Danio rerio: one gene and its partner. The protein of the gene in region 1 interacts with the protein of each later gene in a biochemical or structural test. Links are inferred from orthologs where the notes say so. Each region holds a gene or a part of one and is shown in the gene's direction. Other genes may lie near its edges.

Region 1 (5,881 bases):
CGATTGGGACAGTGCTGCCTTGTCACTTACATTTAATTTGTCTGACTATTTGTCAATTGCGTGCATTTTAAGTTTGTGCTTTTAAGTCTTTAAACACTACCTTTTCTGTGATGTAGAAAAGTTTCCAGTTCCTCTTATCTGATTGAGCATGCAATTTTTTCTGTAACCTGGTAACAATCAGTACAGCAAAGAAACGGCAACATGGCGGCAACATCAAATTATAAGGCTAAAAGAAAATGTCTGTTTCTAACATCTTGGAAGTAGACATTTACGTGGGAACAACACGACAAAATAAAAATGAAGTGATGTTTTGCACAGTTTTCCGTCAGTTGGACAAGTCAGCCACCTTTTGTTAAATAATTTTAAACCGCAATAAAATACCTGCACATTTTCCATACTGCTCTTTTTGCTTGCATAACTTTTATTTACATTTTTTTAAAGTATTGAAATTCTAGATTTACAGACTTTATTTTTGACACTTTAATTAAAATATGTGGCTAAAAATAGCTATTAACTTCCCTTTTTTTGGCAGGGCAAGTAAAAATCTAAACCACTGGCCCGATCAGACCAGTAGAAAAAATCCTTAGCGTTGAACCCTGCACTGGCTCCCAGTTACATTCAGAATAGATTTTAAAGTATTATTACTGGTCTATAAATCACTAAGTGGCCTAGGACCTAAATACATTACAGATATGCTCACTGAATACTGACCCAACAGATCACTCAGATCTTTAGGATCATATAAACTAGAAGTTCCAAGAGTTCAGTCAAAGCAGGGTGAATCAGCTTTCAGCCACTATGCTCCTCGCTGCTGGAATCAGCTTCCAGAAATGATCAGATGTGCTCCAACAGTAGGCACATTCAAATCAAGACTGAAAACACATCTGTGAGCACTGTGCTGCGTCCGACAGACCACACTATTATGTTTTTCTCTTGTTCTTCATTCTTTTATATCACATTTGACCTGTTTTTATGTTTTTTTACTCATTTTTATTATTTATTTTTATTTTTATTTTACTTGTTTCTTTTATTCTTGTTTATGTAAAGCACTTTGAATTGCCACTGTGTATGAAATGTGCTATATAAATAAACTTGCCTTGCCTAATTGAGGTGAAGTTGGTTTTAAATTCGCACATTCATTTAGTGACAACTTGTGACACGCTCTTTGTATTGTTTACCATGGTACTTTAAATATTCGGTCTGAAATCGCATGTAAATATGACAACATTAGCACAATTTATTTGGCTGTGTACAATGTTGTTGATAGTCACTGGCTGCTAATATGATTTTATTATTTAGTGTGAATATAAAACCAACTTTACCTCATTCATTTTGCTGGTAATCGACTTTCACTCATTCTGTCATTTATATAAAAAAAATAAGTTTGAGTTGAGGTAAAGTTGGTTTTATATTCGCACATTTTTTCAGTGACAACTTGTGACACACTTCCTATATTGTTTACCATGGTAATTTAAATATTCACTCTAAACTCACATGTAAATATGACAGCATCAGCACTATTTATTTGACTGTGAACAGTGTTGTAGGTTACTTTGATAGCCATTGACTGCTGAAATGATTTCAATGTTTAGTGTGAATATAAAACCAGCTTAAGCTCAATCATTTAGCTGGTAATCGACTTTCACTCATTCTGTGCCACTCATAAAGAAATCACTTGTAATTGAGGTGAAGCTGGTTTTATATTCACACACTCATTCAGTGACAATTGTGACACGGTCTGTATTTTTTTACCGTGGTACTTTGAATATTCGAACAAAAAAAATCACATGTATGACTTCAAAACATTAGCACTATTTGTTTTGAACTTTGATAGTCATTGGTTGCTAATACGATTTGCAAATAATACTTTCTGAAATTATACTATTAAGGAGAAAGTCAGAATGTGTGAATATAAACCAACTTTACCTCAATTAAGTTGGATATGTAAACTTAAAAGAGTGGAATTTTAAAGAGAGACACCACTCAAAATATTTTCCCTAAATAGGCTTGTCGGCTTTAAAATAATTAAACATTCATTCATTCATTCATTCATTTATTCATTCATTTTCCCTCGGCTTAGTCCCTTATTTATTAGGGGTCGCCACAGTGGAATGAACTACCAACTATTCTGGTATATGTTTTATGCAGTTGATACTTTTCCACCTCCAACCCAGTACTAGGAACACCCATACACACATTCACACTTGCACTCATACACTATGGCCAATTTTGTTTTACCCAATTTACCTATAGTGCATGTCTTTGGTCTGTGCGGGAAACCCACTCGAACATGGGGAGAACATGCAAACTCCACATCGAAATGCCAACTGTGATGTGATAGTGCTAACCATTGAGCCACCGTGCCACCCCAATGAAGAAACACTTATGAAAAATAAATATTTAAAATCAAATTGATGCTTGCCCCTCCACATTATTTTGGAAATTTTTTTTATGAGAGCTATTTTAAACCTATAAATATCAAAGATACCGGAGCGGTAATCTAACTATACTATACTATACTAGCACTTTTTTCTTAGGACATAAAGGTATTGTGCAAAGAAGGCATTAAAGGTTGATGAAAACAAGTAGTGGAACATGGTTGGATGGTGCATTCACAAGTAAACATTGCTTTTTTTTATTGAGGCCTTTTAAACTGGAGTTTAAGTAAAGTGTCTGGTGCATGTGGAGAAAGTTTTTAGACAGATGGTTTGTCAAGCCCACTCACCTGTGTGTGGCACACTCTGAAATGCACAGTGTTTTTATAGAGATGTAGAGTGATTTTAAGAAAGTATACCTTGAACAGCATTTGTAGATGTCACTTGTGTTGTATTCTAGAATTAAATGAATACATTTTAAGCTATTTATAAGTCCCAAATATTTTTGGGGTGTTAATTTTATTTGTGTTTATTCTACTAATAAAGTGCTCTTCGTCTTCTTGATATAGAAAGCAACAATGGGTCACACGAGTTTGGAGAAGATAATTGCACTGCAAAAGAAAACGGCACACATTAGGAATCTGTGTATTCTTGCTCATGTAGATCATGGTAAGTTTGAAAGTTGCCGATTTACAGTTGAAATCAGAATTATTAGCCCCCCTTTGAATTTTCTTTCCCCAAATGATGTTTAACAGAGCAAGGACATTTTCACAGTATGTCTGATATTATTTTTTCTTCTAGAGGATGTCGTATTTGTTTTATTTCGGCTAGGATAAAAGCAGTTTTAATTTTTTTTTATATTTCTATTATTAGCCCCTTTAAGCAATTTTTTTTAAGTCTACAGAACAAACCATCAATATACAATAACTTGTCTAATTACCCTAACTTGTCTAATTAACCTAATTAACCTAGTTAAGCCTTTAAATGTCACTTTAAGCTGTATAGAAGTGTCTTGAAAAATATGTAGTCAAATATTATTTACTGTCATCATGGCAAAGATAAAATAAATCAGTTATTAGAGATGAGTTATTAAAACTATTATGTTTAAAAATGTGTTAAAAATTTTCTTTAGGTTAAACAGAAATTGGGGAAAAAGCGAAATAAGCGGGAGATGAGGGGTAATAATTCAGGGACTTTAATAATTCTCACTTCAACTACATACATTTTAATGCTTATTTATTTATTTATTGTTATAGTCATTAATAGTCAAGTATCTACTGCCAGATTTTTATATTTTTGTATAAATTGAAACATTGTGTGTTGTCTATAGGGAAGACGACGTTAGCAGACTGTCTGGTGGCCAGTAATGGTATTATATCCAGTCGTTTAGCAGGAAAGGTAAGTGTACATTCTGGAAAATGACCAGTTGTTAGCCTAAAAACAAAGTACACACAATAAATTATACTTTTTTTAGCATATGTTGATTGTTTTTTTTTATTTAATTTTGATGTATTATTATTTATTAACTCTGTGTATTTAAAATGATGTGTTATTAACTAAAACTAGAAATATAAAACGTTGCTTTTGTGATTGAAATTAAGCTGAAAGAAAAGAATTATAATAATACTAAAAAAAAGCTTTCATCATGAAATTTCAGAAATACTCATTAAGTTTCAGAAATGCTCATTAAGTTCTCAAAATACTAAAACTGAATAAAATATATTAACTCTACATTAAATTTAATAATAATTATTATATATACTGTACATGTATTATCTAAAATAATTGACTAAAACCCACAATTGATTTAATGCATCTTACAATGTATCTTTAATATCATCACTGTTGTTGTGTATAACTATAAAAGAAACAATTCATAAATAAATAAAATAATTAATTAAAGTATTGCTGAAATAAAAAAAAAGATATTAAATAGAAAAATTATATTAGATGAGAAAATTGTAAGGTGAATACCAACAAAACTGAAATAAAATACATTAAAGCCACAGTGAATAATAATAATAATAATAATAATAATAATAATAATGATGATGATGATGATGATGATGATGATTATGATTATGATAATACAAATTATTATTATTATTATTATTTCTTAAAAAAACATAAAAATATTCAAGTAAATAATAAATATTTTTTTCAGTACTGGGTTGCGACTGGAAGGGCATCCACTTTGTAAAACATATGCTGAAATAGTTGTAGGTTCATTGCACCATTGTGACCCCTGACAAATAAGGAACTAAGCCGAATGAAAATTACTGAATGAATCATAAAAAATACATTTAAAAGTTGAACTAATTATGAATTATAATTAAAATAAATGATTGATAGACAGACAGACAGACATTTACATGACTTTTTTTATGTCAACCGCTGTCCTTCCAAAATTCAAAATTGTAACTATCCATAAAATAATATTTTGAAAATAGTATTACAGTACACTCATACACACACACCCCTGTTGGTTTGGAGTTGAAATAAGACTCATACAATTGAAGCTCACCATCTTGTCTGTCACTGCTGCTTTCTGTCATTGCTCCTGTAGCTGAGATATCTGGACAGCAGGGAGGATGAGCAGATCAGAGGAATCACCATGAAGTCCAGCGCTATTTCATTACATTTCGCAACAGGTGATGGCCATCGTGGTCTGTATTGTTTTTACTGATTCGACACGATGTACTGCTCTGGCTTATGTTTGCCGTTGTCATTGCAGGAGGAGTGGAGTTCCTCATTAATCTGATCGACTCTCCCGGTCATGTGGACTTCTCCTCTGAGGTGTCCACCGCTGTCAGATTATGTGACGGGGCCATTGTTGTGGTCGATGCTGTGGAGGGAGTGTGTCCGCAGGTATCATCCAACATCGAGAGTCTTTTCACTTGTTTTTCGTAGATTAGACACACAAAGTGCATAGAAATTAAATGCTTTAAAAGTTACACTGTAATTCGCCCAGCCTCATGCTTTTTTTGACTTGTATGTAATAGCATACGTTTGACCATCCATAACAAATAGAGAAAAAAAGGGCGAAATAATATATACAGTTGAAGTCATAATTATTAGCCCCTGTATAGTTTAATAGTTAAAATAACAAAAACAAAATATCTCTTTATAATGAAATAAAGAGACCCTTAAACTTGATAAATAAAATGTTACAAAGTGTGTACATTGGTAAAGTGTAAATGCTGAACAATCAAAGCAAACTTTAATGTGTCAATAGTAATGATACAGTAAACCTCAAACTCTGTAAACAACACTAATTATGATAATCAAATCTGAGCTTTCAAGTAAAGGAACCAGCCATCATTATTCAAATACATATTGCAACATTACAAACTGTGAAGTTGGATGGCTATATTACCCCCTATGTTAAAAACTCTTTCAGATGGGGAGCTAGTGGCTGAGATAAACAAGAAAAGAAACCAAAAAGCCACTCTGGCGACATCCTTACATTCTTTTTTATTTACAATCTCCTCATTGCTGCTATATGA
Region 2 (6,381 bases), on another chromosome or scaffold:
AATACAGTTTTATAAATATATATATATATATATATATATATATATATATATATATATATATATATATATATATATATATATATATATATATTATAACTAAATAATAAAACAAAAACAATCTCATGAATGTAATGTAATGAAGCACTAGTGACATGATTGGTTTAGGTTTGATGTTAACTGTATTGTTTTTTTGTTTTTTTTGTATTAGGGAGAAAGATCTTGATGAAGTCCTGCAAACCAACACAGTCTTTGTGAATGTGTCCAAGGGTCAAGTGGCGAAGAAAGAAGACCTATCCAATGCTTTTGGAACAGATGACCTGACTGAAATATGCAAACAGGTGATCTGAATGGTCAAAGCTATGGGATTCATAAGAACAATACTGTAATTACTATTTTACAATAAAAACATTTTTTACCATTTGAACTATTAATCACAACCCAGCAGACAATGCCCATTTTAACAATGCTAAAGAAAAGCAATGATGTATATTAGTAATTTATTAATAGCAAGTTATAACTAGTTTATTTCACGGCTGTCTGCAATGCTGGATTTTGATTGCAAAATTCCAAGGTATGTTATTCCCAGACAACAACCGCTGAATAACACATGCTTCTCTGGGAGCTGAGAATCACAGTGACTTAATATGTTTATATCCATATACTTACATTCACATGTAAATGCTTGTCTGTCATGCTGCATTTTTTGTCTTGTGACTAAATAATATACCTGGGTTAGTGTATACTCTATTCAGCAGGTTTAGTGTCTGTGAGCTTTGCATTTTTAACTGTTTGCCGTCATCTAGTGTCTGAATGCACAGGTTGTTGTATACATTTCTAACGTCCTAGTGTTTAATTAAAGAATTAATAAACTATTACGGCTCCTAGCTATGTTTTGTGTCAAAGTTTTATGTTTTAATGCAAGCAGCCATGTAATAAGTAGGATGAAGTACATCCAGGATAGTTGTTTTTGCAGAATAAAGCCCTTCAGTCTTCACATCGGGCTGCTGATAAACCTGTCAGGCTTAATTCTGCGATAACAACCTTCTGCAAGTACTTGATCACTAACATTGCAATCTATTTAGTAGGCAAATATTGTTTACAAATCTTTAACAGTTTTATTAATGGGTGGTTTTTGACTGTTATGCTCCGTCTTCTGACTGAATAGTATAAGTAGGTTAGTATATGCTCCGTTAAGAAGGTTTTGTCTCTGTCAGCTTTGTGTTTTTGACTGTTTGGGGCCATCTAGTGTCTGAATAATCTGCAGGTTAGTGTATACTCCATCAGCTGTTTCTGTAATTTCTGTCAGCTTTGTGTTTGATTATAGAATTAATAAACTATTACGGCTCATAGCTATGTTTTGTGTCTAATTTTTATGTTTTGGTGCAAGTAGCCGTGTAATAAGTAAGATCAAGTACATCCAGGATAGTTGTTTTCACAGAAACAGTCTTTATAACGGGCTGCTGATAAACCTGGCAGACTTTATTCTGCGATAACAACCTTCTGCATATACTTGTTTCCCTAACATAGCAATCTATTTAGCAGGAAAATGTTGTTTACAAATCTTTAACGGTTTCATAAATCGATGTTATTTTTGTCTGTGCTTCCAGATTTTGTCCAAAGGAGAACTGCAGGTATCAGACAAGGAACGACAGAGTCAACTGGAGCAGATGTTTCGTGATATTGCAACTATTGTGGCTGAAAAATGTGTGAATCCTGAGACCAAGCGGCCTTACACAGTGAACCTTATAGAGAGAGCCATGAAGGACATCCACTTCTCTGTTAAAGCAAACAAAAGCACTAAACAGCAGGTCAGTAGATATTGATCATTGGAGGATCTGTAGCTATGCTTCCATTCAAAGATGTGAATTAGATTCATGCACAAAACTGGAATATTGCATAAAACTTTAGTGAATAAACCAGCGTTTAAATAGAACAAAATCATCACTTGCTGATAAACTGGAGCAGATATCAGTCAGAGAAATGTAGTTTAGTGTGTTGGGATTTGCTACGGTGGTGTTTTTTTCTGCTCTAATAAATGAGTTGCGCCTCAGAAGCCAAAACGCAATTAATGTTGTGGCTTTTGGAGGCGTGACACGCTCTTTGGGAGCACAGACAGATGCTCAAGACGGTTCTGGTGAGAATAATAATACTACTGAAGCACTGTGATGACGGACTGACAGCTGAGGGCTTTTAGACAGACCGGAGCAACATTTCAGATGTTTTACACTGTGCTGGAAACGCTGCAAAGTCCATCAATACATCCCATCACACACATTTCATCATCACATGATTTTGTTGATCTACATACCACATCATGATTACTGAAGAACTGACTCTAAATAGAGGTGTTGATGATAATAATTAAACCAGCGTCTCCCCCTGCAGGCTCTTGAGGTCATCAAGCAGCTGAAGGAATCCATTCAGATCCAGAGAGCTCACATGCGCCTGCGCTTCGTCCTGCCAGCCAAGGATGGGAAGAGGCTGAAGGAGAAGCTCAAACCATTAATAAAGGCAGTGGAAAATGAGGACTTTGACGACCAGCTGGAAATGGTGAGTCGGCAGTTTTTTTTAGCCTAGAGCGCCGTCTGCTGTTAAACTCTAGCCTAGAGCGCCGCCTGCTGTTAAACACTAGCCTAGAGCGCAGTCTCCTGTTAAACACTAGCCTAGAGCGCCGCCTGCTGTTAAACACTAGCCTAGAGCGCAGTCTCCTGTTAAACACTAGCCTAGAGCGCCGTCTGCTGTTAAACACTAGCCTAGAGCGCTGCCTGCTGTTAAACACTAGCCTAGAGCACCGCCTGCTGTTAAACACTAGCCTAGAGCGCAGTCTCCTGTTAAACACTAGCCTAGAGCGCAGTCTCCTGTTAAACACTAGCCTAGAGCGCCACCTGCTGTTAAACACTAGCCTAGAGCGCAGTCTCCTGTTAAACACTAGCCTAGAGCGCCACCTGCTGTTAAACACTAGCCTAGAGCGCCGTCTGCTGTTAAACACTAGCCTAGAGCGCCACCTGCTGTTAAACACTAGCCTAGAGCGCTGCCTGCTGTTAAACACTAGCCTAGAGCACCGCCTGCTGTTAAACACTAGCCTAGAGCGCCGCCTGCTGTTAAACACTAGCCTAGAGCGCCGCCTGCTGTTAAACACTAGCCTAGAGCGCCGCCTGCTGTTAAACACTAGCCTAGAGCGCAGTCTCCTGTTAAACACTAGCCTAGAGCGCCGTCTGCTGTTAAACACTAGCCTAGAGCGCCGTCTGCTGTTAAACACTAGCCTAGAGCGCAGTCTCCTGTTAAACACTAGCCTAGAGCGCAGTCTCCTGTTAAACACTAGCCTAGAGCGCCACCTGCTGTTAAACACTAGCCTAGAGCGCCGTCTGCTGTTAAACACTAGCCTAGAGCGCTGCCTGCTGTTAAACACTAGCATAGAGCACCGCCTGCTGTTAAACACTAGCCTAGAGCGCCGTCTGCTGTTAAACAGTAGCCTAGAGCGCCGTCTGCTGTTAAACACTAGCCTAGAGCGCCATCTGCTGTTAAACATTAGCCTAGAATGCCGTCTGCTGTTAAACACTAGCCTAGAGCGCCGTCTGCTGTTAAAAACTAGCCTAGAGCGCCGCCTGCTGTTAAACACTTGCCTAGAGCGCCATCTGCTGGTAAACATTAGCCTAGAACGCCGTCTGCTGTTAAACACTAGCCTAGAGCGCCATCTGCTGTTAAACATTAGCCTAGAATGCCGTCTGCTGTTAAACATTAGCCTAGAGCGCCGTCTGCTGTTAAAAACTAGCCTAGAGCGCCGCCTGCTGTTAAACACTTGCCTAGAGCGCCATCTGCTGGTAAACATTAGCCTAGAACGCCGTCTGCTGTTAAACATTAGCCTAGAGAGCCGTCTGCTGTTAAAAACTAGCCTAGAGCGGCGCCTGCTGTTAAACACTTGCCTAGAGCGCCGTCTGCTGTTAAACACTTGCCTAGAGCGCCGTCCACTGTTAAACACTTGCCTAGAGCACCGTCTGCTGTTAAACGCTAGCCTAGAGCACTGTCTGCTGTTAAACACTAGCCTAGAGCGCCGTCTGCTGTTAAACACTAGCCTAAAGCGCCGTCTGCTTTTAAACTTTTTTGTTTTTTCTTTCCGTGTGTGACTGAACGTGCATTCGACAGCCCCCAGAAGTCAGCGATTTTAAGTCAATAATGTACATTTGTGTAAAGATTTTTGTTGATCTGTTTTTCAAGACATGCGTTAAAGGGATAGTTCACGCAGGAATTAAATTGTCACCTTTTACCTCCCTGTAATTTTAAAACAATGCTGGAAACCTGTACCCTTTGACTTCCACAGTACTGTATTTGTTTTGCCTACTATGGCACTGAATGGTTACAGGTTTCAGTGTGAGTAAATAGATGATCTATTAATTTAAAAGGGAAATAACCATCAGACAAGAAGTAGATAGACAGGTTTTGACATTTTATCCGTATTCTCCATGTGTTACAGGAGTTGTTTTTGCTCTTTCAGGTGTGTTTGATAGATCCAGGCTGTTTTCGGGATATTGATGAGCTCATCCGCTGTGAGACCAAAGGAAAGGGAACTCTTGAGGTGCTCAGTCTCAAAGATGTGGAGGAAGGGGATGAGAAACTCGAATAAACACTTCATTTATTTTCACCTGCTTTCTTTAACACATTAAACTACTGCTGATTTATTTTATATGGGCTGCTCGACTGTTGGAGTTTGAATGTGGCCAAACTATTAGCAGCTACTGCATCAGTATTTCAATACATTGTTAATAATAGACTCTAAAATAGTAATAAAATCCACATTTTATTTTCTGTGAAAATGGAATACATATTTATTTTGATTAATAACAGAAGTCAAAATATGATATTCTGCAAGAGTGCATCTTTATTATTAATATTATTATTTTGCTTTCTTTTAAATCTGAGGTGCCGAATTCCCATTTTCAGCAGGGTTTGTTAATCTACGAAGAAAGTAGAAAATAATTTAAAAGTTTTAATTGTCTAATCTGATGCCAGAGAAACTTTATCTTGTCACAGTTAAGACTCCCTTTACATTCACTATTTGTAGTATTTAAATAAATAAGCATCAACCTCTATATAAACCTCTATAAACTGTGATTCTGCTTAGACTGAAGGTGAAATTCGTTGTTCTTTGGTTTAACACTAAAATAAATAACATTGTTCTGCGTTCTACAAAGTTGTTTTTCTGAATGAATTTTTTTTACAATGTGCAGTCAGTGTGCTCTATGTAAAGTTATTGAGTGTGAACTAATAGCACTTGACCGGCCACTTTATTAGGTACACCTTACTAGTACCATGTTTGACCCCCTTTTGCCTTCAGAACTTCTTTAATCCTTTGGCAGAGATTCAACAAGGCACTGGAAATATTCCTCAGAGATTTTGCTCCATATTAACATGATAGCATCACACAGTTGCTGCAGATTTGTCGGCTGCACATCCATGATACCGATCTTCCATCCCTCCACATCCTAAAGGTGCTCTATTGGATTGAGCTCTGGTGACTGAAAAGGCCATTTGAGTACAGTGAACTCATTGTCATGTTCAAGAAACCAGTCTGACATGATTGAGCTTTATGACATGCTGCGTTATCCTGCTAGAAGTAGCCATCAGAAGATGAAGACACTGTGCTCATAAAGGGATGGACATGGTCAGCAGCAATACTCAGGTAGGCTGTGGTGTTGACACGATGCTCAATTGGTACTAATGAACCCAAAGTGTGCCAAGAAAATCTCCTCCACACCATTACACCTACATTACATGATACAAGGCAGGATGATCCATGCTTTCATGTTGTTGATGCCAAATTCTGACCCGACCATCTGAATGTGTCAGCAGAAATGGAGACTCATCAGAGCAGCAACATTTCTCCAATCTTCTATTGTCCAGTTTTGGTGAGTCTGTGTGATTTGTAGCCTCAGTTTCCTGTTCTTAGCTGACAGGAGCGGCACCCGGTGTGCTCTTCTGCTGCTGTAGCCCATCCGCCTCAAGGTTGGACGTGTTGTGTGTTCAGAGATGCTCTTCTGCAGAGCTCGGTTGTAACGAGTGCTTATTTGAGTTACTGTTGCCTTTCTATCAGCTGGAACCAGTCTGGCCATTCTCCTCTGACCTCTGGCATCAACAAGGCATTTGCGCCCACAGAACTGCCGCTCACTGGATATTACCACTTTATCAGACCATTCTCTGTAAACCCTAGAGATGGTTGTGCATGAAAATCCCAGTAGATCAGCAGCTTCTGAAAAACACCAGACAGTCAGGTATCAACAACCATGCAATTTTCACAGTCACTTAAATCCCCTTTCTTCCCCATTCTGATGCCTGATTTGAACTGCAGCAGATCGTCTTGACCATGTCTACACGCCTGAATGCAGC

What was found.
Region 2: the proteins of efl1 (region 1) and sbds interact in a biophysical measurement, tested with the Homo sapiens proteins (2 studies listed by BioGRID and IntAct, with this or other methods). The link is inferred for Danio rerio from reciprocal best matches to the Homo sapiens genes EFL1 and SBDS.

What each region holds. Positions count from the first base shown.
Region 1 is NC_133182.1:12,339,134-12,345,014, reverse strand, and holds part of efl1 (elongation factor-like GTPase 1), read left to right. Parts: intron 1-2,944; 5' UTR 2,945-2,953; coding exon 2,954-3,044; intron 3,045-3,705; coding exon 3,706-3,773; intron 3,774-4,941; coding exon 4,942-5,026; intron 5,027-5,109; coding exon 5,110-5,243; intron 5,244-5,881. UniProt on the Homo sapiens protein: GTPase involved in the biogenesis of the 60S ribosomal subunit and translational activation of ribosomes.
Region 2 is NC_133190.1:1,934,272-1,940,652, forward strand, and holds the end of sbds (ribosome maturation protein SBDS), read left to right. Parts: intron 1-208; coding exon 209-338; intron 339-1,607; coding exon 1,608-1,808; intron 1,809-2,385; coding exon 2,386-2,550; intron 2,551-4,492; coding exon 4,493-4,621; 3' UTR 4,622-5,184; downstream 5,185-6,381. UniProt on the Homo sapiens protein: Required for the assembly of mature ribosomes and ribosome biogenesis.